3 linked regions of the Drosophila melanogaster genome follow. The protein of the gene in region 1 interacts with the protein of each later gene in a pairwise test. Each region holds a gene or a part of one and is shown on either strand. Other genes may lie near its edges.

Region 1 (8,992 bases):
AATTGACCTGGGTGTTATTTAGTTATATAGCTCCTATGTAAATTATCGATGATCATCCAAAACGATAGTTTAGAGATAGAAAAAAGCATTAAAAGAACGTTATTCCTAAGGTTTCGGCAAAATGGTGATTCCGACAACGGGGCTGTATGTAGGTAACTTTAAAGGTGGCCGGTTCCACGGCCACGGTGTTTACGAAATGCACTGTAAGGATTCCCCCGAGAGCGAAGTCTACGAAGGAAATTTTTGCGAGGGCCTGTTTCACGGCCATGGAGTGATGCGGAACAACCGATACATCTACGTGGGCGAGTACCAGGCCAATGCACGCAGTGGATACGGAGTGATAGAGGATCTGGTTAGCGGGGACAAGTACATGGGCATGTTTGCGGATAACAAGCGATCTGGAATCGGCAGCTGCATCACCAACCGCGGCGACTACTTCGAGGGCAGCTTCTCCGGAGACGATCTCACAGGCAGTGGGGTTGCTGTCTTCGAGAACGACTATTACTACGAGGGCGAACTCACGCTCCTCGGCCCAAACGGACGGGGGGAATACTACATGCCCAGTGGAGATGCCTGTGGAGGAAGCGGTGCCATGGGGACCGGGGAGTTCGACGACACTTGCGAGCTTATTGGGAACAAAATGTTTGGACAGCTTAGTGGTACTTGGGACACGGTGCGGATACAGGCCGGTGAACTGGTACTAAATCGGCGCTTTCCTAAGTACCCCAGGTGAGTCAATAAGAACCCACAAACGTACTTCAATGAAAAAATAATATAATGGCTTTACTGCAGCTCCCTTGGGCGCCAAGTGGTAGATCACAATCGCAAGTGGCGATCATTGTTTAACAACTTTGAATCGGACCTTGCCAATTGCACGGCAAGCACTAGCAGCTCTGGAGGCAATCAATCAGCTGGCACCCTCAGAAAATCCTCGAAACCCACTTTGAGCACGGCCCAAATCTGGAACTGCATAGCGGTGTACATGAGCAAACAGCGGGCTCGGGAAGGAACAAAGCCTGGCAACTACTTTAACAACATCCTGCTCAGTCTGCCGCTGCCGCAAAAAACATCATCCCCACTGGCAAAGGCCCGCACCACCACCAGCGCACTGAGCAAGCTGCAAACGGAGGCTGCATCGGCGCTGGACTTCTTGGGATTTCCACCGCGACGAATCCAATCCCAAGAGGCACTGAACAGCAAGCCAGGCGGATTGCAGAGAGCGGATAGCTTAATCTCTATGGGCCACAATACATCTCGTGACTTGGACAACAGTAGTCTGGCTAGTTTCCAATTGGACCAAAGCCTCATGAACAGCACTGTCAACGGCGATGAATCCAGCACGTTCAATGAAAGCTTTTCGAAACTAAGTCACAACAACAATAACAGCATTTCGAAGCACATGAACAACATCGATTGCTCGATAACATCAACAACGTCTACAACGAGTGCAGTGCTGGACCAGGTACCCAGTTTTGGAATGGCTTTGGTGCTTACCGAGCAAGATGTGACCTCCATACGTTTGTACCTGGAGCAGGCTTTTAAGGATCGCCATCACCCGCTGTACGTGCTGAATGAGCGCATTGCCAACTGTTTCCACTACTCATATGGCTATTGGAAAGTTAAACCCACCCCGATTTTGGCCAAGCAAGCCATGAGAGAGTGGGAGTCCATATCGCGTCGCATTTACCGCTTTGTGCGGAAGATGTTTCCAGCGTTGCCCGAGGAACTTTGCCAGATGGAGGGCAGCAGGGAAGTCATATCGCATATTACCCTATTATACCCACTCGTGCTATCAGAGGGCATCTACTCCACTTTGTTTGTGCTGTATGCAAATAAGTACAGTCGAAAGGACGAAATGTATCGGCAGAATCTGAATCTTGCCGAGAAACTAAAGGACCAAGAGCTTGTTGAACTTATGGGTCATGAAAGGTATTCTAAAATGTCTACGCTATTTTATCTTTCTTGTAATTTTCAATTTTGCTTTCAGTTTTCTGCACAATGTAATGTTGGACCCCAAGTTTGTGGAGTCCGTGCAGACGTTAAAGGAACTGCAGGAGAAGTTTAGTCCACAGGACATGTTGACTGTGATACAGCGGAGCACGCAGCTACTAACTGAGGCCTACGAACACGCCATGGCAGGTGAGTCTCAAAGGTCCAGATATCCGTAAATAGTTTCACTAAGCAGTTCCGACTCACAGCTAATGCCGCCCAGCTCAATGCGGACAACATGATACCGCTCACCATGCTCACGATGCTGCGCGCTGCTGTTCCCCACTTGGGTGCGGAGCTGGCCTTATTGGACGATCTGACCGGTGGCCCCAATTTCCAAGCCGAGATGAATGGAATGGCGGGCTACTGCTACACTACACTGAAGGCCGCATATGAGCACGTGACGTCGAGAGCTCTGCAAAAAATCCCCTGAGCGGGCTCAGCTCAAAGATTTCGGGCTCCGTTGCCGAAAAGGCCGACACATGAGGTTTTAGAAAATTAGTTACTTCTTGTTGGCATTGTTAAGTCTCGGTGAATAAGAAACACAAGTGTTGATTTCCCGTAAATAGTCTGTATATACATAGAACGACGAAATTCCCTCATATGATTACGGGTATTGATTCTGTACAGCCGCAATTGATTAGCCCCTAGTACAGCGTAGAAATGTGTATCTATATATTTATGTATGTATTTATCTGTATCTGTTTTGTATATTCTAGGCCAACGCGTTAACATTCCAATTACTCACCAAAGCAAATAAACTATCTACACACACTTGGGAACTAAGTCTTTTCTATTTCCTTGAGGGTCTGCATCTGGTCCTGGTCCACAGGGAACAGGATTTCCGCCATGTGCGACGCAAAGTTAGTTCTGTCCAGCTTGTACACGATGTACTTTTCAGGAAACTTTGTGCCATCCTCGTAATTGTACACCAGGATCACCTGATCGTTCTGCTTGGCGATCTTTCGCTTCACCAAATAGGCCAACGCGTATATGGCCTTAAGGAAGACGTTCCGCCTATGTGCAATAATGCACTTGGTGCGGAATGGAAGCATGGTCACGTTGTGGTAAATGGAAACGTAATCCTCGGCGGAGCGCATGTGGCTAACGAAGAGAATGGGGGCGTGGGGCCGAAAGTGGGAGATCTTTTGCACCATCCGCGTGGTGACTCCGATCACGACGATGGCCACCGCATGGACTTCAATGGAGGCAGTTACCACGGAACGCGCCAAGCTATCCGCTCCAGTGTGAGATCGGTCGCAGTATGGAGTATTGGCCAGTGCCGTTGGGCTGATCTGCTCGAAGATGGCGGATTGCAGTAAGCGGAAGTAGATTGTACCTTTCGGCTGCGGGCACGTGGTCACGTACTTGTCCGGATAATAGAACGTGTAATAGTAGTGCGCGGGGTCCACCCTAAGCTTTTGCTCATCCAAAAGCCGCGGATCAAAGATAATGGGTTTCTTCGCAGCGTATGTCAACTGCATAAAGCACTCGGCGTCGGGGCACAGGTGCATTATGTCCGGAACAGTGGCCGGCTCCGCCAGTTCCACCAAGAACCCGTCGTAGCGTTTGATCGCCCAGTTCAGCTCCCCTTTGCAGCCCTGGACCTCGTTGAGCACCACTCTAGCGTACAGTCTCATGCCATCGCAGTGCATAGCGGACATCGCGTGCTCCAAGTTGTCCACGTACTTTGGGGTCCCCACGATATGGGATACTACCACATTCAGGCCAACCTCTCGGGCGAAGGTAAGGTCCTCTAGCTCCTCGTACGAGATCCGGAAACGACGACACCTCGCCGGGAATAAGACAGGCATGTGGGCATACAGCATGCCTCCCCTGGCCACACAGCCCTTGAGGTGGTCCGCGTGGATGCTCCGCACCATCAGTTGAATGTCCTCGCCAATCAAAATAAAGTCCAAGGGGTGTACATCAACGATCAAAAAGCGGGCATTCACATATATAACATCAGCGTTGCTCCGATCCGAGTACTGCCGATCCACGGTCAGGATTACCTTCTGGCCCTGCACAAGTTCAACGCACTTCTTGCCCTCCTGGCGGAACTGAGTGCTGAATCCGCCAGTGAACTGGTGGCGCGGCGATATCTTCACCATCACTGAAGACGTCACGGGAAAACCCAACTCCTTTGAAACACTGATCTCCGCCTCTCGCAGCTTTACGATCAGGCTCTGGTTGTCATGCTGAGTGCCCTCGAAAAGGTTGACCATAAAGCAGCGGACTCCGCCCACTGAAAGTAAGGAGTTGTGGTGCAATAACAAATGGATCTTATAGAAAAATGCCAAATATAGGCAAAGGGTTTTAGCTAATAATTCTAAAAAAAAGCAGAGAGAGGTATATAGGGGGTCTCAGAAATGTCATAATTCGGATTGATGATTTAAACCCATTAAGACCATGAAATATTCCTAGAAATGTAGATGTGTTCTAACTTGGAAGTTTAAAATTCTAAAAAATTACGTGGCGTGTATAAGGAGTTTACGCAAACGAACTGTAAACGCACATAGATGGTGTTTGATCTCGAGATCGCAGTTCGTCATCGAAGTCAGTTCCACACACTTGCGGTTCTCGTTGGGATCGGTGCCGACTGGGGTGGTCAGGATCTGAAAGTCTTTGAAGAAACCGTGCCAGCGATCCTCCTCGAAAGATATGTTGCACGGATCCTCGCTTAACTCCTCGAAGTCGAGTTCCTCCTCCGAGGCCGAGCTGCAATTCTGATTGAAACCCGAATGTAAGGAATACTTGGATCGAAGAATCGCCATCTCGCTTCCACGGTTCATGCTGACTTCTTCCTCTTGGCCTAGAAGATGGTAGAAGGTGTTCCGCCGTTGCATAATATTTAACTTCTCCTTGGCCTTCTGTAATTTCTCCACGTCCACTGCGATGATCCGCAACCGGCTGAACATGTTGTCTATAATCGACTCGAAGGTCGATGCCTTCCGCTCCTCACCATCCTCATTATCGCTCATTGCTGGGGAAGATAGAAAATTTTGGAGTCTAATCAAAAACTGTGTGCTTGTCAAATTTGATATGGAGACTGGGACTTTTTAGCACCAGAATTTTCGTTAATCTTGATATAACTGGAGAAAACAAAATAAAATTACAAAATTGAATAAAAGGTTTGTGCATCGTTCCCAATTTATACACGTTTTTAGTTAAGAAAGAGATTCGTTCAAAGTTTGTTACAGGTATTTACCCATGTCCGTCGGCTCGTCCGTACGGTTCCTCTGGAACCACAAAAGCCAGAAAGTTAAAAGCCAGAGATTAACCATGCACAATATGCCACGCCCAATGAAACGCCCGCAGGCCGCCGCCGAAAACTATGACAAGAGTATACTATGAAAATGTTTAAATAGGATTAAACGTATAATTTAAATATCTGCCACTCCAACATCTTTAATCCACTGCTCTAATTTTTCTGCCTCCCTTTTGTTTCAAAAATGTAAAACAAGTGTAATTTCTTGCTGATCAATAACTGTTTACAGGACTATTAACTATTTTAAGATTTTGAGTCTGAAACAAATACTAAACTATATCGTGCTTTGTTTAAAGCTGCGTTGTTTTTAAGCCTGCTTTCTATACATTGTTCTACATACTTTAACTGCTCTTTTCATTTACTAAAATTAATTTGTTTGAAAATAGATGAAATTGACTATAGTTCCATTGAATTTGAATGCATTATCTTTGTTCAAGAGAATTTATTCATGATTCAATTGACCAGAGCGATATGACGACATGCATTTGGGATAATTCCGTTTGGCGTTGAAGAGTCGAAAGGATTATATCTTTTTCAATCGCCTAAATACGGAAAATTTTCATAATTTGGGGTGAAGGTTTTCAATTTATACACTTATGCACTGAAGTCATTTCTGGCGAAAGCTGTACAAGATAAGAGTGAATTAATCATTACATTAATGTTTTTGTAAAAGCAAACGTAAGCCATGAAATTACATAATCTAAGGAGGGATCAGGCTAGTTATGCGCATAGAGTCCCAACCAGATCGACCTCCTCCTCCTCCTCCGAGCCCAGGCGTGATTTTATAGTTTTCCTGCCCTTTAGCCACCCATGCATTTCCCATTTCCACTCAACATAGTTTCTGGTTTTCAGTTCTCCAGCGATAAAAGAAACCGCAATCCGAAGCGCAGGTAACTTTTGGTATTTGTTGCCACTGCTGTTGCTCATTTTTGTTTATTTCCGTAATTTATTTGCCTGTTTTGCCTTTCCGAAGGCGAAAATGTTAAATTTAGCATCAAGCGTCAAGTGAAATGTTTACAATGTGAGAGAAAGTTAAATTGAAAAGCGGGAGGGAGGCGGCCTTTCAGTTCGGAAAACTGAAAACTGAAAACGGGATCCCCAACTAAGCGTTTTAGAATCTATTCGGAATCTTGTTTCAGCGGAGGCCCAGCACTTGAGCACGCCGAGTTCCGCCCGAGAAACGAGGAAAACATAAACATCCAGGAATGTTTAGAGAATAAAAATGTTCATATACGCTGCTCTCTACTTTTTGTGTCTTTTCCCCCTTTGTTGTTTATTTTCCCCCAGCCAACGTGCGGATACACCGGCTGACTAAGACCAAGACCAAGACCCACACACCCGTACCCGTACCCGTAGTCGTGCGGACACGTACCCGGACCCGGACCCGGAGTGGGGATACGGCTGGAAGACTGGGTGTGGCCGCACCCATGTTTAGACTAAACAGCCGATCATGGAAGAAATGTAGAAAGTGTAGAATTCTTCCCGCTCGACTGCGAAAAGCGCTTGAACTTTGACGCCGAACTGCACTCATCGGTTGGTTCGATTTCCCCTTGCTTTTCTTCCTTTTTTTTGCCCCATTTTGGACACGGATTTTTCTATGCCAGGCGGCGTGGGCGGGTGGAGTGGTCGGAGTTGGTGGTGGGGCTGCCATCTGCTGCCATTGAGCACCAGCATAAATTGCCTGGCTCCTTCTCCTTGGCTCGCGATCGGATGGGATCGTGTGGGATCAGCTCTCTCCCTCTCTTTTCAATTCTCTAGGTCTTCTCTTTCTATCCGAATAGCGCCGTCCCGCTTGCTCGTCCATTCATTTCGTGAATAGAATTTTCTAAATGTCTTTGAGTTTTCAAAATTTTGGAGCGTAGGTGCAGTGCGTCGCGAAGCGTCAGCGTGTACGGTTGGCTTTTAAGATTTCAAGAGTTCCCAAAGGCGATCGGAAAAGTTGGCAGTAATAGGGGGAAATTCCACCCCCCGAGCGGGTGACGTTACCCCGTTTCAATATTCAAATATTCAATATAATATTCGTAGTGCTCAGTGCTGGAGAGTAGGGTTCCCGGATCCAGGATCCATTCGGTACTCTTCCCACAGAAGTGGGCGTTCTTCGGTGCCTGTTGCCAGGTCCCCAGATGAACCCCACCCACACAGATACACACACACACACCCACACTCGCACACACTCTGGCGATAATTTTTCATCTTTCCAATATCCCACTCGACTGGCGAAATATTCGCCTCTGGCGTTCGGCTAAAAATATTTGAAAATCCAAAAATCCACTTCAACCTACTACGGCCGCCTGTTTTTCATAATTTTCAGTTTCGGTTTTATTTATTTACCCTATACATACGCATACTAGCACGTCCGGCCATTTTCCGACGTCTTTTTGTTTTGCGACTGCCGAAAGTTTTGCCGTTTCATTTGGCATGTCGTCGTTTTTGTTTATACCACCCTGCCGATTTCCCGGTTTTCGCCAGCCCGCCCTTGCACCCTTGGCCGTACATTTTCTGCATTTTCTTGGCGATTTCCACATTTTCCCACATTTTTCGCGGCCTTTGTCTCTTGCGGAGACGGATTTCGGAGCCGGAGTAGGTGGATGGCGGTCTTAATTGCCAGTCCCGTGGTACAAATCACAACCTAATGGGCAGCCTCCACCCGAGTGGTTTACAACTTCCTTGGCCAGATATCGCTGTACATGATTAGATATATACATATAATAGTAAGTATGTATGTACATGGACGGATAGTTGGCATCGGAAGACAGCTGTGTGCATTGGCAGATGCCATCAACATCATCATCATCATCATGATCAGCACCATCATCTTGGTCGTCCATTGCGTTTGTGGGGGAAGTCCATAAAAAAAAAGAAACCAAACCAGCACACAGTTATAAAAATAAAACTATTTTCGTATGGCGTGCATATAGACGCTCGATCATTAGACGGCAGCAGAGCCGCCACTTGGCACAGTTTTCCAGAGCACAGATTGGACCATAAATCAATCGAACCAAATTAAATTAATTCAATTCAATTCCAATCCAAATCCCAAACAAGAACCAATCTCATCACGGCTCCATGTGTGCGGATCGGTATGTGAAAAGTGGATACACAAATTCTAGTCGATTTGTCTTTTTCCGCTTACTGGCGTTTCAATTCCACAACGACAGGAAAGGGAAAAAGGCGTATTTACTATGAGTTTGCTCAGCGATTTGCAGGTGATCCAGGTGTATATAGTATTAGTAAGTATTTCATCGTTTGGTGATATACACTCGAGAATATATTTCATCTGACTAATCAAAGTCAACTGACGCAACGACGCATTCAACTCATTTTACGGCTCATCTGCGATCATTATCATCAAAATCATGAGCATCTAACAAAAAGTCATAAAGTCGCCAAAGCCGAAGAACTCTAATTAAGTTTAAAGATAGAACTTTTCATGTTTTCTGTGCAGCTTCGTACGTTTTAATGATCTTTTGGTAATTAAAAGTTGTGAATGGCAGCGAAACTTTCAGTGCAGGTATATAAAATCGTACCGAAAATTATTCGGAAATAGCTTATAAAAATCTATTGAGTATCGGAACACACAGGGGGACAACACCCAATGACTAAATTCCTAAAATTACAGCATTTGGGAATACGTATTCCCATTCACTGGTACAAAGCACATTTGGAAATCAAACACCAAGGCAGAGAAAACTCAAAATCGTGCCAGCAGTCATGTGCTTAGTAATTTTTCTGATT
Region 2 (8,815 bases), on another chromosome or scaffold:
TCAGCCGGTTAATTAGCTTTTAGCGAGTGAGTGACCACTTGGGCCGATCTGCGACAGAAACAGAAGCTCGATTGCACCGGAACCCTGACACCCAACACGCGGGTATATGGCCCCTTTTTGCCGTTCTGCAACTAAATTGCCGAAACCCAATAATTCACACATTCGCCGCTGACTTTGATTGCTCCTTGTGGTTTCCAATTTCCAGGAGGGATCGAACGTTCGCTCGACAGAAGGGTTGAGGGTAAGGGTTGTTCGCCTGCCCAATAATATTTAATAACAATTGATATAAATATTGAAAGTATTATTGAGTCATAATATAGACTCCTTCGCCCTTTGGTTAGTCGTGAAATTTGACTCGCTTGTGGCATTTCTGATCCCATGTAATCTCGTCTAGCTTATCTTGGACCCCAGTTCGTCTAATAAATTACATTTGAACTGCTCAATTTTCAGAGCTATTCTATTCGGCGATAAAGGCTTATCGCAATGAGAAAATTATAACTAGAGAAGATAGTCCAGCTTCGAATTTCAGATCACAGCTCGTGGAAATCGTAAATAAGTCAGCAAGGAAGGGATTTTTAAAGCTGGTTGAAGTCTGACTGCCTGCATTTCCCCCACGTCCAATTAAAATAGCCTAGCTTCTCCGCAATCTCATTTAAATATCCCTACATCCTGTATCGTTTCTCACGGAAATCTTTCAGAATTTGTTCCATTTTTTCCTGGTCGTTTTTTCTCGACTCCACTGCAGTGTAACAAATTCCAATGGGTTTCAGAAATGCACGTTGTCGCCCCAACTTATGGTTAAATATTTGGAAAATCAGCCGCAGTCATAAATTGTAATCTTCAACGGGCGAGTTGCCGTTGAGGATCCTGGCGCAGTGGATGTCACTTAAGGGTATGTTATTGTTTTTTTAATACTTGTCCAGATGTTGCTATAAGGTTGCAGTTCATTCCGACGTCGCAACCGATGGAGTCCCATGTGTCAATGATTTTTCCCTTATTTAAATGCTGTCCCTGTTCGGTTTTTTCTCACACTATAGTTGTCGTTTAGCTAATTTGTGATTTTTGGTGTTTTCGGTGTTGGATTTGTTTTACGCTTGCCTAGGAAAACTATTTTCCGGCTATTGATTTCCATCGAGTGGTTGAATGACATAGAAGTGCTGGGATGATTTATTGACATGTTTACCGTTCCAAAGGGGGAATGATTACTCTTGGAGTTTGCAGTGTAGCCAGTTTGTCCCTGGGAAAATACTCCTATACACCTGTTTATTCAGTGAACGTCCTGGGGATATCCTGTCCAACCTGTGCGCACATCCTGCATCCGTATTTGCCTGAGGACATCCACCAGGAAATCGGACTGCTCCAAGATCACGTATGTAAGTATTCTAGAAAATATTATTTACCTACCGCTCTCACACTGGCTTAGGAAGAATATTGAGGAAATCCTGATAGCCGGCTTTCCCAAGGATATTCAACTACACGACAACAAAGCGGAAAATCCGAATTCTCCACAGTAATCCCCCCATTCCCCCGTGTGTTTTCAGAGCGCCTGCGCACAGGCCTCGGTGCAATGAGCGTAATTTGAAGACCGCGAGAAAGGCGATTTTGTTCACAGATTTCCAATTAGATTTTCCCACACAATGGAGCACATAGGGGCACCGGGGAAATTAGTCTCTTTATGCTTAATTAGGATTGCGTATTGAGTTTCCAGGAAGTGCTCCAAGCAAATTGCGGCAGTCAGTTGACAGTTGATCTCTGATCTACCTGGGCACAAGCTGCGGTCTCGCATTGTTTGCCGTTTAATTGCACTTTTGCAACTGCAACACACCCATAAAAATCTCAACCGCAGGGTCCAAAACAATCTGAGTCAAGTGTTTCTGCACGCAAACGAATGGATCCGAAAGGACTTCTACCTGCTGTCCAGTGCGCAGGCGCGACGGATTCGGTTTCGGTTTTAGTTTCAGCTGCTGTTTGTGTACACAGGACGAGGTTAGGAAAAAGGACGAGGAGCGGAAAACGGACATGGCTGGTGGACAGCACTTTTGGCACTCGTCTTGCGGTCTAGCGCACATGTGTTCAAATTTTGTGCTGTATCACCGCAGAGGGCTCAAACCAGAACGAGAGCCTGACTTGCGACACACTTGACGTTATTGTGACCATAAAAAAGGCTGGAGAGGGTTAAAACAAATATTAGTTAAAAGTAGGGAGTGAACATGGCTTGTTATAATATCAGGCGAAATGGTTAGGATAATCATGTTTCAACTATGTAGTTTTTATTCTTAAAACCAGAACTGAAGAGTAATAATTTCAGTCCGTCTTTACATGGACCATCTTTTTTTTTTTTGCGTACTTTCCCTTTTCCATCATTAAAATTCCAAATTTTGTGATATTTTTATATTTTTTGTGGTCCAAATTGAAGCAGAAGACAGTGCTAACGAGTTGCAGCATCTGCGGTTGGGGTTGAGTCTTCTGGCATGTGTCCGGATCGTCTTGATTGCCTCGTTTGCTGTTTAATCGCCGTTGACGGGCATAAATTTCGATCCATCCTGGGACACCCCTTTTCAGCTGATTTGTTTAGTAAACAAGCGGATTAGGCACCACGGAAATTCGAGAGCGCCCCAAGTTGGGAAGCCATCGAAGTGTTGCCCTGATTTCGGTAAGGTGAGATACTCAAATTGGGAAGTGCCCGAAATGGTTTCATTGACAACTGTCACCGCTCCGGACGCAAGCATTCAGACTGACGTTTCTATATTTGGAATCATTTCGGTAACTTGAAATTTCCCACAGTTTACCAACAGTTTTCGGAGAGACCACAATTAAAATTTAATTTTAAAGCACACACTAATTTAGTTTTTTTTTTCCCCTGACTAAAGCGTAGTCTAATTTTCCAATTTGAGCAGGAGTGCAACCCCTCAGTTTTAGTTTCTGGCGTGTCCCTGTCTCGATCCTTGTTCCTTTTTTCCGATCCTGTCGCAGGTGGCTCGTTTTAATGTTTTCAGTTTCCGAGGGGAAAGAGGGCTTGCGTGCCTTTTCCGCGACACAGAGATTTCTTCGGGCTTGGTGTACCAATTTTATAGTTTCCGGATCAAAAGATCACATCCTGCGGGAAGTATGACAGGATGCTTAGTTGACTTTGGTGGGAAAGTTTCATGGCGTTTCGTAATATTCCCCAAAACATATTCCTGTTTCTTTGTGGTTAGCTAATGATCTGTTTTGTCATGTAAAAAACATAAGTAAGAATTGTCTCTTGGGGTGCGGTGTGCTGAGGGAATTTCCAAAATAAGAACTAATTAAGACAACACGAAGGATAAGTTCAGTCTTGTGATTTTGTGTAAAAAGTATTGAAAAACTTGAGCAGCTTTTCTTGTTTAAGTAATTTGTTATTTCAAAATGATACCTAATTTCTGTCAAGTACACACTGAAATTTGTTGAAATAATTATTACCAAATTGATACCAATTTATACAATAGTACTTACCTTCCGAAATTCCCGGTTCATTTGATACTGGCCTATTACCATGCATCGATGGTTCTTTGCCAACGAGCGGGAGGAGTGTGAGCGAAAACCGGAGGAAGACGGTCCTAGTAGCGCTTCGGAGACACAAGAGCCACCACCTCCACCACCAGTTCCGACTACTGAGTGGCCCTTCTGTGTAGTCTTTCACAGTTCACTAAACGGTAATGAGTATGTTGCCATTAGTGGCAACTGTCCCTCTCTTGGAAACTGGGATCCCAAGGAGGTGTACATTTTGGCCAAGAATGACTGCATTAGCTGCCTATGCAATTGCCGTCAGTTTGAGGCAAGCTTAGAGATACCGCGTAACATCGACATCCACTATCGGTACTGCGTCGTGATCCACGATCCCGAGACGGATGAGGTGTATATACGCTTCTGGGAGTCCCAATTATATCCCAGAGTGATTCGAACTTGTCAGAACATGCTGAAGAACTGCGACGTCTTTGGAAAACCACACGACGATGATGAAGCGAACCAGGTGGATCGCGGCTGGGCCACCACAGAGACAATTGTGCACCTGAAGATCTTCAATGCTCCATTCTGTTGGCAACGTCAGAAACCGAGGCTCCTGTATGTCCATGTGCAGCCCATGTTTGAGGTGCCGGAGAATCCTTGTAACGAACCAGCCAATCCCATCAAAATGGTTTCGTCGCAAACACGTTTATCGCGTTATCTGAGCACCCGGGAAATTAAGGCAGGGAACCAGTATCTTCAATTGGCACAAGTCGAGGTGACCAATCTATGTGTCCAAAATGCTTTGGCCGCGCAGCAACGATTTGGAGCCAGATGTGGGCCGAAGGATATGGAGCTATTTCATTGTTCCATCGCTTTTCCGGAGGAAACGCTCTACCGACTGGATTTGTACACATACGCGCATAAAGCAGGCTATGATGAACCACCGTATCATTACGGGTACGGATTCCTGATGCCAGATCAGCTGCTGGGCACCGAAGGCTCTGCCCGGGTGAAGATCACTTGCGCCTCCACCCACCGTCCACTAATGGAGATGTGTGTACGCTATCTAATAATTCGACCTTTGCCAAATTTCCGTTGCGATTTGAGCCACAGCTACGAGCGTTACTGGCGCAAAAATCGCCTATGCATGAACATCGGGCACAAAGGATCGGGAAATACGTACCGGTTAGGATCCGATGTGGTAAGGGAGAATACCTTGTATGGTTTCAAGCAGGCTGTTTTGGCCAATGCAGACATGGTGGAGATGGATGTCCAGCTCACGCAGGATGCCCAGGTGGTGGTGTATCACGATTTTGTACTGCGATTTATGTTGCAGAGAATGCCTAGTTTTGAGGATCTTCTGGAGAATCAGGATCTGCTGATATTTGCCTACGAAAATCTTAACAAACTAATGCTCCTCGCTATGGGAGGATCAAAACGAAAAGACCTCATTGCCGTTCCCCTGGAGGCATTTTCCTACGATCAACTGAAGGAGGTGAAGGTCCTGCGATTCGCTGGCAGCAAAGGCTGCGATAAGTCCTGTGATCGAATGCTGCTGGAGCAGCGCCCCTTTCCCCTGCTCCTCGACCTCCTGGATGAGGAAAATCTACCCGTCGACATGGGCTTCCTAATCGAGATCAAGTGGCCGCAGATGACCAATATGCGGCGTTGGGAGAGCGGCAGCTTTAAGCCCACGTTCGATCGAAACTTCTATGTGGACACCATATTGGAGATTGTTTTAAATAAGGCTGGAAAGAGGCGCATAGTCTTTTGCAGCTTCGATGCCGACATCTGTGCCATGGTTCGGTTTAAGCAGAATGTATATCCCGTGACTTTACTACTGGAGGATCCGCACTCGCCGGTTCAGTATGCAGACCAAAGGGTAAGCGTGCAGGATGTTGCCGTGAGGTTTTGCAACAGTCTGGAGTTCCTTGGGCTGACCCTTCATGCTAACTCACTGCTGAACAAGCCCTCGACTATGGCATACCTGCACCAGATCAATCTGGACGCTTTTGTTTATGGTAGTTCCACCATTGACCTGGAGATCCGCAATAAGCTAAAGAAGCACGGAGTGCTGGGAATAATCTACGATCGTCTCGACCAACTGGACCAAGTGGGCGAAGAGCTGGAGGGGGACACCATGTGCACCATTGATTCAGTGACCACAAGGCGCGTGATCCAGGAGACGGAGGTGGAGGAGTGGATCCAGAAGTGTGGCTACAAGCCGGAAACTTCCATCGTCGTACATAACATTTACATCGACTGATGGTTTTCCCCACGTTCTGTTTTTGCCCCGGTGCCAAATAAAGTATAGAAAGTTATGTGCCCCGTGATAACAGTCCAAATACCCGTCCTGTAATCACCAGCCAACGTCCAAGTTGAACCATAAAGACAAAGGAGCATTACATGACTAAGCCGACAATATCCCACCAGACCAAAGCCAAAGTAACGACAATTGTCAATAGAAGGACCAAACGGACTGGAGGGCTAACCCCTTCGCACACCCCCCGCGAATTGGCAAACATTTTTCGCAAACACTCGCGCTGCGGATGATAAGCTTATGTGAACTATTGCCGGGTAGATAAACAAAGGACCTCCGGATGCGGAAGCTGCTGGCAGGAGAAGGGGTTAAGACGGTGCGGTCCAAAGTCCCGTTGGGCGGTCAAACGACATGGCATCGTAAATGATATCCCGTGGCGAATGGGTCTTCTTTATAGGCCAGTGCACACTTTAGCAACACTCTGTCGGGTCTTGGGCGCAACCCCTTCTTTCGTCCTGCCGTGGTATTGATACCCTTTTGCATGTGACTCACACCGTCGCGAAGACGTTCTCTCAGTGGGATGTGGGTTTGGTTGTTGTGCAACTTCCCCCATCCCATTGTGCTATTTATCATAATTTTTCAATTTAACACTGCCATACACGAGGGACACACAGCTCATATCCTTCTTCCTGGCATATAGTTTCCAATGTTTACTTGCGCAAACATCCTTTGACGAACTTTGCCCATTGTCCAGACTTCGCTTTGATGATGTGGCTTAGCCGTACCTTTGCATTTTTGCATTCTCATCGATTCCATCTTTCGCCATAGCTGTCCGTGTGTGTTTGTCCTGCCCAGGAAGGACATCGCTTCCGATCCTGCAGCCATCGTCCGTTAAGGATGACGTTATTAATGAGCATTTTGACACTTACGTCTTGACATTTGCACAGCTGGCCGTTTGTCTAAGGACTTTCGGCGATTGCAGCGAGTGGTAAAGGTCAACTATCTGCTTTCTTTTCGCCGAATACCGTTCGCATTTTAAATAAATGTGTAATTATGTTTGCTTTAGCCCGGGATTTGGGCAAACTTATTGGTGAAATTTGAATCTTGGTTCGGTTCAAGGAAATATTTGTATATTTATGTCAGCATAGGAATGTAAATATTTAAATAGGATTTGGGTATGGCATGATTGACTATGATTATCGCCTTATATTAGAATTATTATTGGAATGGGTAATTCCAAATTATAATAAAGTAATTTATGCTGCTAAGAAATAGCAGTGTTCTCTAATTCGAATCTTATACATTCTTAACTCCTCGTGCCCATTAAGCTCTCTCCAAGATGGTACTAAGATTGAATCATAAATCCCAAAAATATTAAAGCAAACTTTTGTGGCCCATGGGTCCCTTGGACATTGTCCGGTTCCAGCACACGGCAGCTGTCTTCGGGGCGATCGGATGACCACCCCATCCCGGTCGCTTCCAGCCCATTGCATTCCCTTGGTCTGGTCTTTGTCCGGGATTGTTTGCCTTCAATTTGACTACAAACCATAATTTATCTTTTCAGACGTGTTGGTCAGCGCGACAATGGCGGGCCAGCGACAAGGATTATTGATTATGCAAAGTGCCCGGTGCCCAGGACAATGCCGGGAAAACAAAGGCTTAAGCAAAGAGAAGAAAGGATTCCAAAGAAGTCTCAAGCTGGGCGAAGGGGTTGCTTTGGTTGCTCTACTCGTAGTGGCCAGCGGTCAGTGGAAGTTATGAAATATCCGTGCCGGAATCTGATGAGCCGAGAAAGTATCCCCTTACAGGACACAACGCGTGTGTTTTCGCCCATTAGAGAGATAATAGTTTTTGACATTGCTCGTCCGTTCGCCTCGGCTTCTCAACCTTTTCGGTGTTAATGGTCAGTTTCGCTATTTTGGCATGGTTAATTAATATCCCGATCGGGCAGAGTGTGAGAAAGTTGGAGGCAAAGGTGAGACTGGGCGAGTTGAGAGGCCTGAGCTGTTGACGGATGCTGATGGATTAGGGAAATAATTAATGGTTCCATTCCGATTCAACGGTATTTGACCGATAACTGGATCAGGTTTTGGCCACCAAATCGATGGCTATTACAGGGGTTATGACCCTTTGTTCAAACTAAACTGGTTTGATAGGGGAAAACGAAATGTCTATCAAATATTTACGATTTTTATAATCATCAGATAGATATACATATTTACTCCAAGCTAAATTGTTGTTTTCAAAAGAAATGAATTTCTTTCCACTCCTTTCAGAATTCAAGAATAAATATTGAAGCAATATGGCTTCCCTTGTTCAAACCGATCAATCGTAAGTACAAAGAGCTGTTTTCAGCAAAAAAAAAAAAAAAAACATTAATTCCAACGAATTGGGGGAAGAAGCTCGGTCTTCTTATTCGTTCTACAAGCTGTTTTCTTCTTGATGTTTCCACTCAGAGACCCAGTGTCGTTGCAGACAGTTGTTGATAAGAAGCATTTTGTTTCTACGAGTGCCTGATAAGCGCCATTTGAGAGAGCGACTGAGGCGAGGTCAATTGACCTGCTTTTAAGCAGAGACTTGTGCACGTCCGTTCATCAAAAAGTGCTTTCGAGATTGCCATTCCGCTACCTCTGCCTCCTCCTCGGACCGAAAAACCAACCGCGCTAATCTATCAGTCGAGTGTCCGTCTTTGTTTTCGTTCTGTCGGACTGTCAATTTCCAGGCCGAAAATGTAAACAAGCCGAGTGTATAGAGCGAAAAATATTAAAAAACTTCCACACGCTTATAACGAACAAATAAGTAGCTATAAATACATAAATATATACTCTACAGATGTCGCATCTTATCAGTCCGCTGAGGACCCAAAGTGATGTCCACATCAGGCGAGAGCTGTGAGATTAATTCTACACATAGTACATACATGGCTGCCCACTGAACTTTTGTCCTGCGACGAACAGCCGCATTCCCTGATCTTTGGCGACATCAATTTTTAGGGTGAACAATTTCAATTAGGTTCACGTTGAACCGCGATTGAGATTAACGCACTGCAAGTAGTTTCCCGCAGATAATGCAATTGTTGTGTGTATT
Region 3 (7,170 bases), about 20 Mb from region 1:
GGATATGTTTATTGTTCTGGCAGGAAACTGCAGAAAGGTGCAAACGAACTTCCGCTCCAAATCAGTTTTCGATTTGCCTTTCCATATCCATTACATCTGCTGTTTGCACTTTCCTCGAAGCACCTTGGCATGGCACGCGCTTGGGCAGATGTCACCTGGAATGGAAATGAGTTAAGCGAGGAAGTTATGTGGTATGATTTTACGATGCTACTACTACCACACCCTCAATCAATCATCATTCGCTGGTCTGGGCGGCTGAAAGCCTGATTACCCTGTAATTAGACAGCAGGATCCGCGCAGGACCTGCCAAAAAGGGGGAAAAGCAACGAAAAAAAAAAAAAACGGGCAAATGTGAATTTAATGAGTAAAAATGTGATAATTAGACGGACCCCCGAGGAGGCCGACAAAGGACCAAGGACCGAAAAACGGGAAGCCATCCCGCATCCTTTCATCCCCGGGCTAATTACGGGACCAAGTCATTTGGCCGGACAAGTGCATCCGTCGGCAGTAATTGTCGTGTTTGTTTAAGATTCAGCCCCATATCCTTCGCTCCTCCATCTGCACCTCTTCCCAAGGAATGCAAATTGAATTAGGCCTGGCATAATATTGTCATTCAATTAGATCATCATCTGGTTGGGCTCGTGCGGTTTTACCCCGGACTCCAAGGTGTTTCGCCCGTGCAAACATCAACAGATGCTGGGTCCTCGCTCCTGGGCATGTAGAATGTGGCATTTAATAAGCTGCCAAAGAAAAACAAAGTAATTGAGTGGCAGAGTAAATTGTACAATTTCGATTAATGTAGAAATATTTGAATTGCCTGATGTTTATGAACATTGTTGTTTGTGGAAAGTTAAGTGCTTATTGCAAAAGGCTAGGGTCAATCTCGAGGATTAGATTATTCTTATATAAGTTGAGTAATCTTTTTAATTAGATTAAAATAATATTCAAATCAATACTCAGTCTTGACTTTGCCTTGCTTTTAAAAAACGTTTTACAAATATAAATATGCATAGCTTCCTTGCATGCATGGAATATAAATATCATGCTCTGCATTATAAATGTTTTTATGAATTGTCCTGTAAAATGGCTTCGGGCCTGTGTCCTTTGTGCCTCGTAGTCCAAATATTCGCTTTTGTCCTTTCATTAGCGTAACAACGAACAATGTTAATCAAATAGCTCATTTAATAGGCTGCAAACCACGAGCACGTTTTACACGGTCACCCGGAAATAAAGCCATTGGGCATGCATCATGCACCATGACCCCCGCATCATCCTCCTCCTGCTCCTCTCCTGCTCCTCTCCAGCACCTCCCGCTCCTTTTTTTTCGGCCAGTTTATAAATATTGCTCAACTGTTTGGAATAAAAATGTCAACACGCCGGGCGAGGCCGTACGCAATGCATAATAGAGGACACACAATACCTCCGAACCAACGAACCACCGATCCTGTGGACCACCGTCATCCTGCCACCGCCGGCGGAGATGTCCTTTTTTGCGCATAGCCACAGGCAGAAGGCAACAAAAAATGCGGAAAATACATGTCGCCGTGTTTGTGTGCTCCTGCTGCAACGGACGCAATTCAAAGGAATTTTTTGTGGCTCGCAGAGCGAGCGAGCGAGAGAGCCGAGCCGGCCACGTCGTCCTGTGGTCCTTCGCCTTTCGATCCCCTCACTCCTCGCTCCTGTCCTGTCCCGCTTGACCATGTCTGCCGACCCGATCCCAATCCCAATCCCAATTTCCAGCGTTAAATGTTTTGCGTCAATTTGTCGGCTTGTCCTGCAAAAGGTGAATGAAGCGAGGTTACAGCAGAGGCCAAGATAATAGTGGTAGGGTTGGTTAAAGTACATACCTGTATAGAAATTTGATCACACACAATTTCAAGTAAACTCTCTTCAATTTAATAAGTAAACTGTAATTTTAAGAGTTGCAAGTACATTTATAGGTGGCGCTCCTATTTTTTTGCTCACAACTGTGCCGTCTGCTTTTAGCACCGTTAAATGGCGGTGAAGTCGCCTACCTGGTGACGTCATGCGGCGTGCAGGACTCGGACTCCTTGCGCTGCTCTGCGCCCAGGATAATGACATTATCAGCCGCAGCAGCCAGCGTCCGCCAAACAAACGATAAGCAATCATTTGTTGGGAATACAATTTCGCCCTATTGGCCCTGTTGGCACTTTGTTGTGATCGCTTGATCTTGCCGAAAATGCGACTTGTCACACGGCCACAATGCGTGTGGGTGTTCCCATTGTTGACAACACAGATTCTCTGCGCCCTTTGTCTGCGAATCGAAACAATTTAATACCCAGAAATTGGCCCAAATCGGAAACTCGGAAGTAAAATCTGATTTCTGTTTATTTTTGATCTTAGCGCTCTAGATTCGATGATCGATCAGCTGGCGTTGTGCAACACTACTAAGCGGAATGAATGGAAATAGAACTAGGAGGATAAGAGTACAAAGCGCAGAGCGCGAATAGAAACTTCGGCACGCTGGCGGGAAAGTTGTAAATTCGGTCGTTTTTTCAATGTTAAGTGTTCATTGTGTTTAAACTTTAATCGTAATGAAAAATTTATAAGGATTATTAAGTTAATAAAGCAGGAACGCTGCTGTTTCGTTGCGTAAGTGAAATGCTCGGAGAATGTGAATAATATTACAGTTAATATGTACATAACAAAATACAAGAAAAACGGCGCTTTCCCTGGAAGGGAGTATTTAGTGCACACCCGCGCAAGAACAGAGTAGCCACCCATATGATATTCCAGTGACATAGCCTCCAGTCCTCCAGAGGAGGCTTATCAATTAAACAAAATTTGATAATTACTGCCATTAAGAGTCCGCCTAGCGCTGATTAACTAGAAGATACATAAATTCCCCCTTCCCAGACTGGCGGAAGTAACTATTTTGTGCCCTAAGGCCGTGGCTAGCTTAATTTGTGGCCTTTTTATTTTCGCAATCGTCGTAGACGAGCATTTTAATTGCGTGTAGGCTTCACTTTTAATTAAACACAATGCTTATTTTCCGCTTTTTGCGGATTTTTGCCCGCTCTGCGTTTGTTTTAATGGCTGACATCGGCATCTGTGCCAACATCTTAATTACATAATAAACATAATTTAGTTTGTCCGGTCACACGCATAAATGTTCGTTTTATAATTTTATGACTAGATTTCTTTTTTCTTTTTTGGATGGGTGGGGGGTGGGGGGTTGGTTAAACATGTACGACGATCTTCAACGAAAGCATCAACAATGAGCGAGTGAGACAGCTGTAGCGATAGTGGGTGTGTATTGGTGTTTCTCTCCCTTGTCCACCAGCAAGCAACAATGTCCAAACTGTTAACCCCTAGATGGGCTGGGGGATTACAATACCACGGTCACAGTGAAGGCTTCCTCTGGACTAACCAGGAATTCGTGCTTGCGGGTTTTCACGCGCAGAAAGCACAGCTTATCATCGGTATCCAGATCACGGACGCAGCTCTGGGCCAATTTCAGGAAACTGGCGTGCAGGTGCTTCACAATCGACTGGGCCGTGGTCAAATCGAATGAAGTGTGCAGCAGACTGTCCCCGGCATTTTCCGACACCACGAATCCCTGCGCCTGCTCCGTAATCCGGTTTGTGTTGTCCGTGTTTCGCTGCACCACATCCTCCATGGCCTTCAGATAAATTTTCGACATTTTGAAAAAGATTTGTAGTAAAACTGGAAATTAGAAATTGTCTAAAAGATTTATTTTCTAGTTATGTTTGATCCGTATTCGAGTGATGTTAGAAAGGTACTGAAGTTTTCTGTAGTCTTTGCTGATAAATTGCTGAAATTGTATCAAAAGGCTACTAAAATGGGAGAGTTTTTTGATAGGCGAAATAGTAGAAACAATTTTGAAAATTTTCTAATCACTTTCTTCTTAGCGAAGTTCTTAGTAAATGTTTTGTTATATTGCTTACTCCCGAAGTGGTGTTTATATAACGATCTTAGGGAATATACATATATTGCTATATCAATTACATCGAAAAAGGTATCGCAGTACCATAGCTAGATATGTAATTGCAGGTTATCTTTACACTTAAATATGCATCAACTATTGCTGATTAAACCTCCATACTTAATTCCAGATGAGCGGCAAGCGGACACGTAGCTTTAAGTGCGCCGTACACCATCGAGATCGTGAAGTCTGCTCCGAAAACGATTTCCAGCTGGTGCTAAACGAACCGCCACTCTTTCGCAAAATGGTGCACGCCGTGGCCATGGAGATCCTGCCCGAGGAGCGGGATCGCAAGTACTACGCCGATCGCTACACCTGCTGTCCGCCGCCTTTTTTCATCATCCTGGTTACTCTGGTGGAGGTGCGTTGAAAGTTTAAGTTCTCCTTGAACAGACCCTTGACTACTTAACTACTTTTCCCCCAGCTGGGTTTCTTTGTTTACCACTCAGTGGTCACGGGTGAGGCGGCGCCAAGGGGACCCATACCCTCGGACTCCATGTTCATCTACCGTCCCGATAAGCGTCACGAGATCTGGCGCTTCCTCTTCTACATGGTACTCCATGCCGGGTGGCTGCATCTCGGTTTTAACGTGGCAGTTCAGCTGGTTTTTGGGCTGCCACTGGAGATGGTTCATGGTTCCACGAGGATAGCCTGCATCTACTTCTCCGGGGTGCTGGCGGGAAGCCTGGGCACTAGCATCTTTGACCCGGATGTGTTCCTTGTGGGCGCCAGTGGTGGAGTATACGCTTTGCTAGCCGCCCACCTGGCCAATGTGCTTCTCAACTATCACCAGATGCGTTATGGAGTCATCAAGCTGCTTCACATTCTGGTCTTCGGTGAGTGTTTAGCCTACCGCACCTTAGTGTTGTTGTTAATACAGTTCAATTTCTTCTAGTTTCCTTCGACTTTGGCTTTGCCATCTATGCTCGCTATGCTGGCGACGAACTGCAGCTGGGATCATCGAGTGAATTCCTGGCCATAGATCAGGCGGAAACGGCGGGTGCTGTTTCGTATGTGGCCCATTTGGCTGGTGCCATTGCTGGCCTAACTATCGGGCTGCTGGTGCTCAAGAGCTTTGAGCAGAAGCTCCACGAGCAGCTGCTCTGGTGGATCGCCTTGGGAACGTACTTGGCGCTGGTGGTCTTCGCCATCGCCTTCAACATCATGAATGGATTTGCGATGTTCAATATACGCGTGGAGAAGATCCGTGTCACGGAAACCATTTTCAATGATTTCCAGGTGTGAAATCCCAGGAGGATAAGCGATAGGGATGATCAGAATTCGATCCTTGTTTCGTATTTAATTGATATTTTGCTTACATTTTGTTCATTGCGTTACATTGAAGTTTTTATTGTTTTTGGACGTCGATTAAGTTTCGCGTTTATTGTTTTGTTAACCCTATATCTGTAGGATCAGATATGAATATCTCATTGTTTGCTTACGTGTCATGCGACGTAAATTATTTTGTTTTGTTTGCTAGTTAAGTACAAACATATTGTAAGAATCGTAAGAGAATATTTACAACAAATCGAACTGATTAGGTGTAACATAATGCTCAAGGAATTACACATTTTCTACATATTATTAAGATTAACCAGAAGAACCAGAAGACTTTATATGGGAGCTAATAATGAATAAAACTCCACAAGCTGTAAATTAGAATTACAAATATATGTATATGCGTGTGCTTTAAGGACTATATGGAAACCGATATATTGGCAATGCAAGCGATTTATTCTAAATTTTACAGGCCTTATAGCAATTGAGATTACTACCTCAACAACAACTGATAAATAATATTAAATATATTCCAAAATGTTGAAGTAAATCGGTTTCAATTTGATATAGCCGAGCGTAACTGAGCACTGCCAGCTTTAAGAAATCAATTACGACCAAGCACCAACAGAGTAAAGCATAAATTTACATATTTTCTATTTACACATTTTGTTTAACTTGTAAATAAAAGTACATTTAAATTTTAAAAAAAAATGTGTTTCATGCTTGTAATTGGGGTTAAACGGGAATTTTTAGCGATTGTGGTGTGGACACACTTACACCGATCGTTAAGCACTTGTTTATTTACAGTTATAAATGTAAAAGTCGAGATGAAGCTCAAGGGTTAAAGTTTTCCAGTGGCAATGTTGCCACACGTTTTTTTTTTGCTGATCGCAGAACTTACGGTTTCAAGTGGACGCGTCGGTTTCGTTTTTCTTTCCGCGAAAATCCCATTAAATTGGCTTAAAAAGTGAGCTGGAGTGAGTTTAAACCGATTCGCGTGCTGGGTGATAAGGATTGGCCATCCGTCCTTATCATTTCCTTGAGTTATGACACAATCCGCGCGCAAAAAACTACAATTTCGTTTGGCGCAGCACGCGCACCTGGCAATCCTTCGTTTCGTTTGTTAACTTTGGCTTTTTCTGGCGTTTCTCGTTGCGTGTTTTTGGCCAGGACATTGGGAGAAACTCGGGACAGCCACTCGGAGGAGCAGTCAACAAATCCCAATCCCGGCGGACACGGAATTTATGTTTGTTTGAGCACATTTCGCCGTCAAGTCATTCGTCAGGGCTGTCGCATATTTCGCGCGGGCGCGGGGGTGTCGCCGGGAAGAAGCAGAAAATGATGGAAAAATGCGGCATGGCAAATGCAAAGCGAAATGTGACAGGAACGCAACTGAGTCCTCTTAGCGATCCTTTTGGACAGGAGCTGCTTCTATTGACGCTGATTAATGCGGCATTGGTGTTATTTCGAGGCGGTTTGGGAAAAAAATGTACAAACCTGCTCAAAGAAAGAAAAACTGGATAAAACTGGTAAGAAAATCAATGAATTCATAAAAGTTTACTAAAATAACCAATTACATTAGTGTTAGTGCATTGCTATTCCTATTGTTGCTCTAATTATTAAACAATTATATCATTGATCCCAGTAATGTTTTAATTAACTCTGTACGCAGTCTGATTAAAAACCAGAACGTAATTTGTAGCCAGCTTCTAATGCGAGAATGCTGCTCTAAGATACTTTTAGATCAGGTTTAATGTCAATAGACTAAACTTGCTGCACTGCAACTAACTTATTCCGCAGGAATGAAGCCCGTTTGGAGTAGTCTTTAGTGTATAAATCATATCAATCGAAGCCTTCCTCCGCTCGGAATTCAACATGACCAGGACGGCAATCCTCAGTTTGTGGTGCGCAAACATGTTTATAAA

The links. Proteins that work in one complex are often made in the same cells at the same time.
Region 2: the proteins of CG11249 (region 1) and CG3942 interact in a two-hybrid assay, tested with the Drosophila melanogaster proteins (one large-scale study listed by BioGRID).
Region 3: the proteins of CG11249 (region 1) and robl62A interact in a two-hybrid assay, tested with the Drosophila melanogaster proteins (one large-scale study listed by BioGRID).

What each region holds. Positions count from the first base shown.
Region 1 is NT_037436.4:21,668,169-21,677,160, reverse strand, and holds CG11249 (uncharacterized protein), read right to left. Parts: upstream 5,023-8,992; 5' UTR 4,971-5,022; coding exon 4,505-4,970; intron 4,235-4,504; coding exon 2,772-4,234; 3' UTR 2,643-2,771; downstream 1-2,642. Other genes in the region: Als2 (amyotrophic lateral sclerosis 2), read left to right, coding at 111-729, 793-1,929, 1,988-2,139, 2,199-2,422.
Region 2 is NT_033777.3:12,250,793-12,259,607, forward strand, and holds CG3942 (uncharacterized protein), read left to right. Parts: upstream 1-3,394; 5' UTR 3,395-3,514; coding exon 3,515-5,734; 3' UTR 5,735-5,800; downstream 5,801-8,815.
Region 3 is NT_037436.4:1,474,215-1,481,384, reverse strand, and holds robl62A (robl62A), read right to left. Parts: upstream 3,767-7,170; 5' UTR 3,665-3,766; coding exon 3,350-3,664; 3' UTR 3,016-3,349; downstream 1-3,015. Other genes in the region: stet (stem cell tumor), read left to right, coding at 4,098-4,328, 4,392-4,803, 4,863-5,212.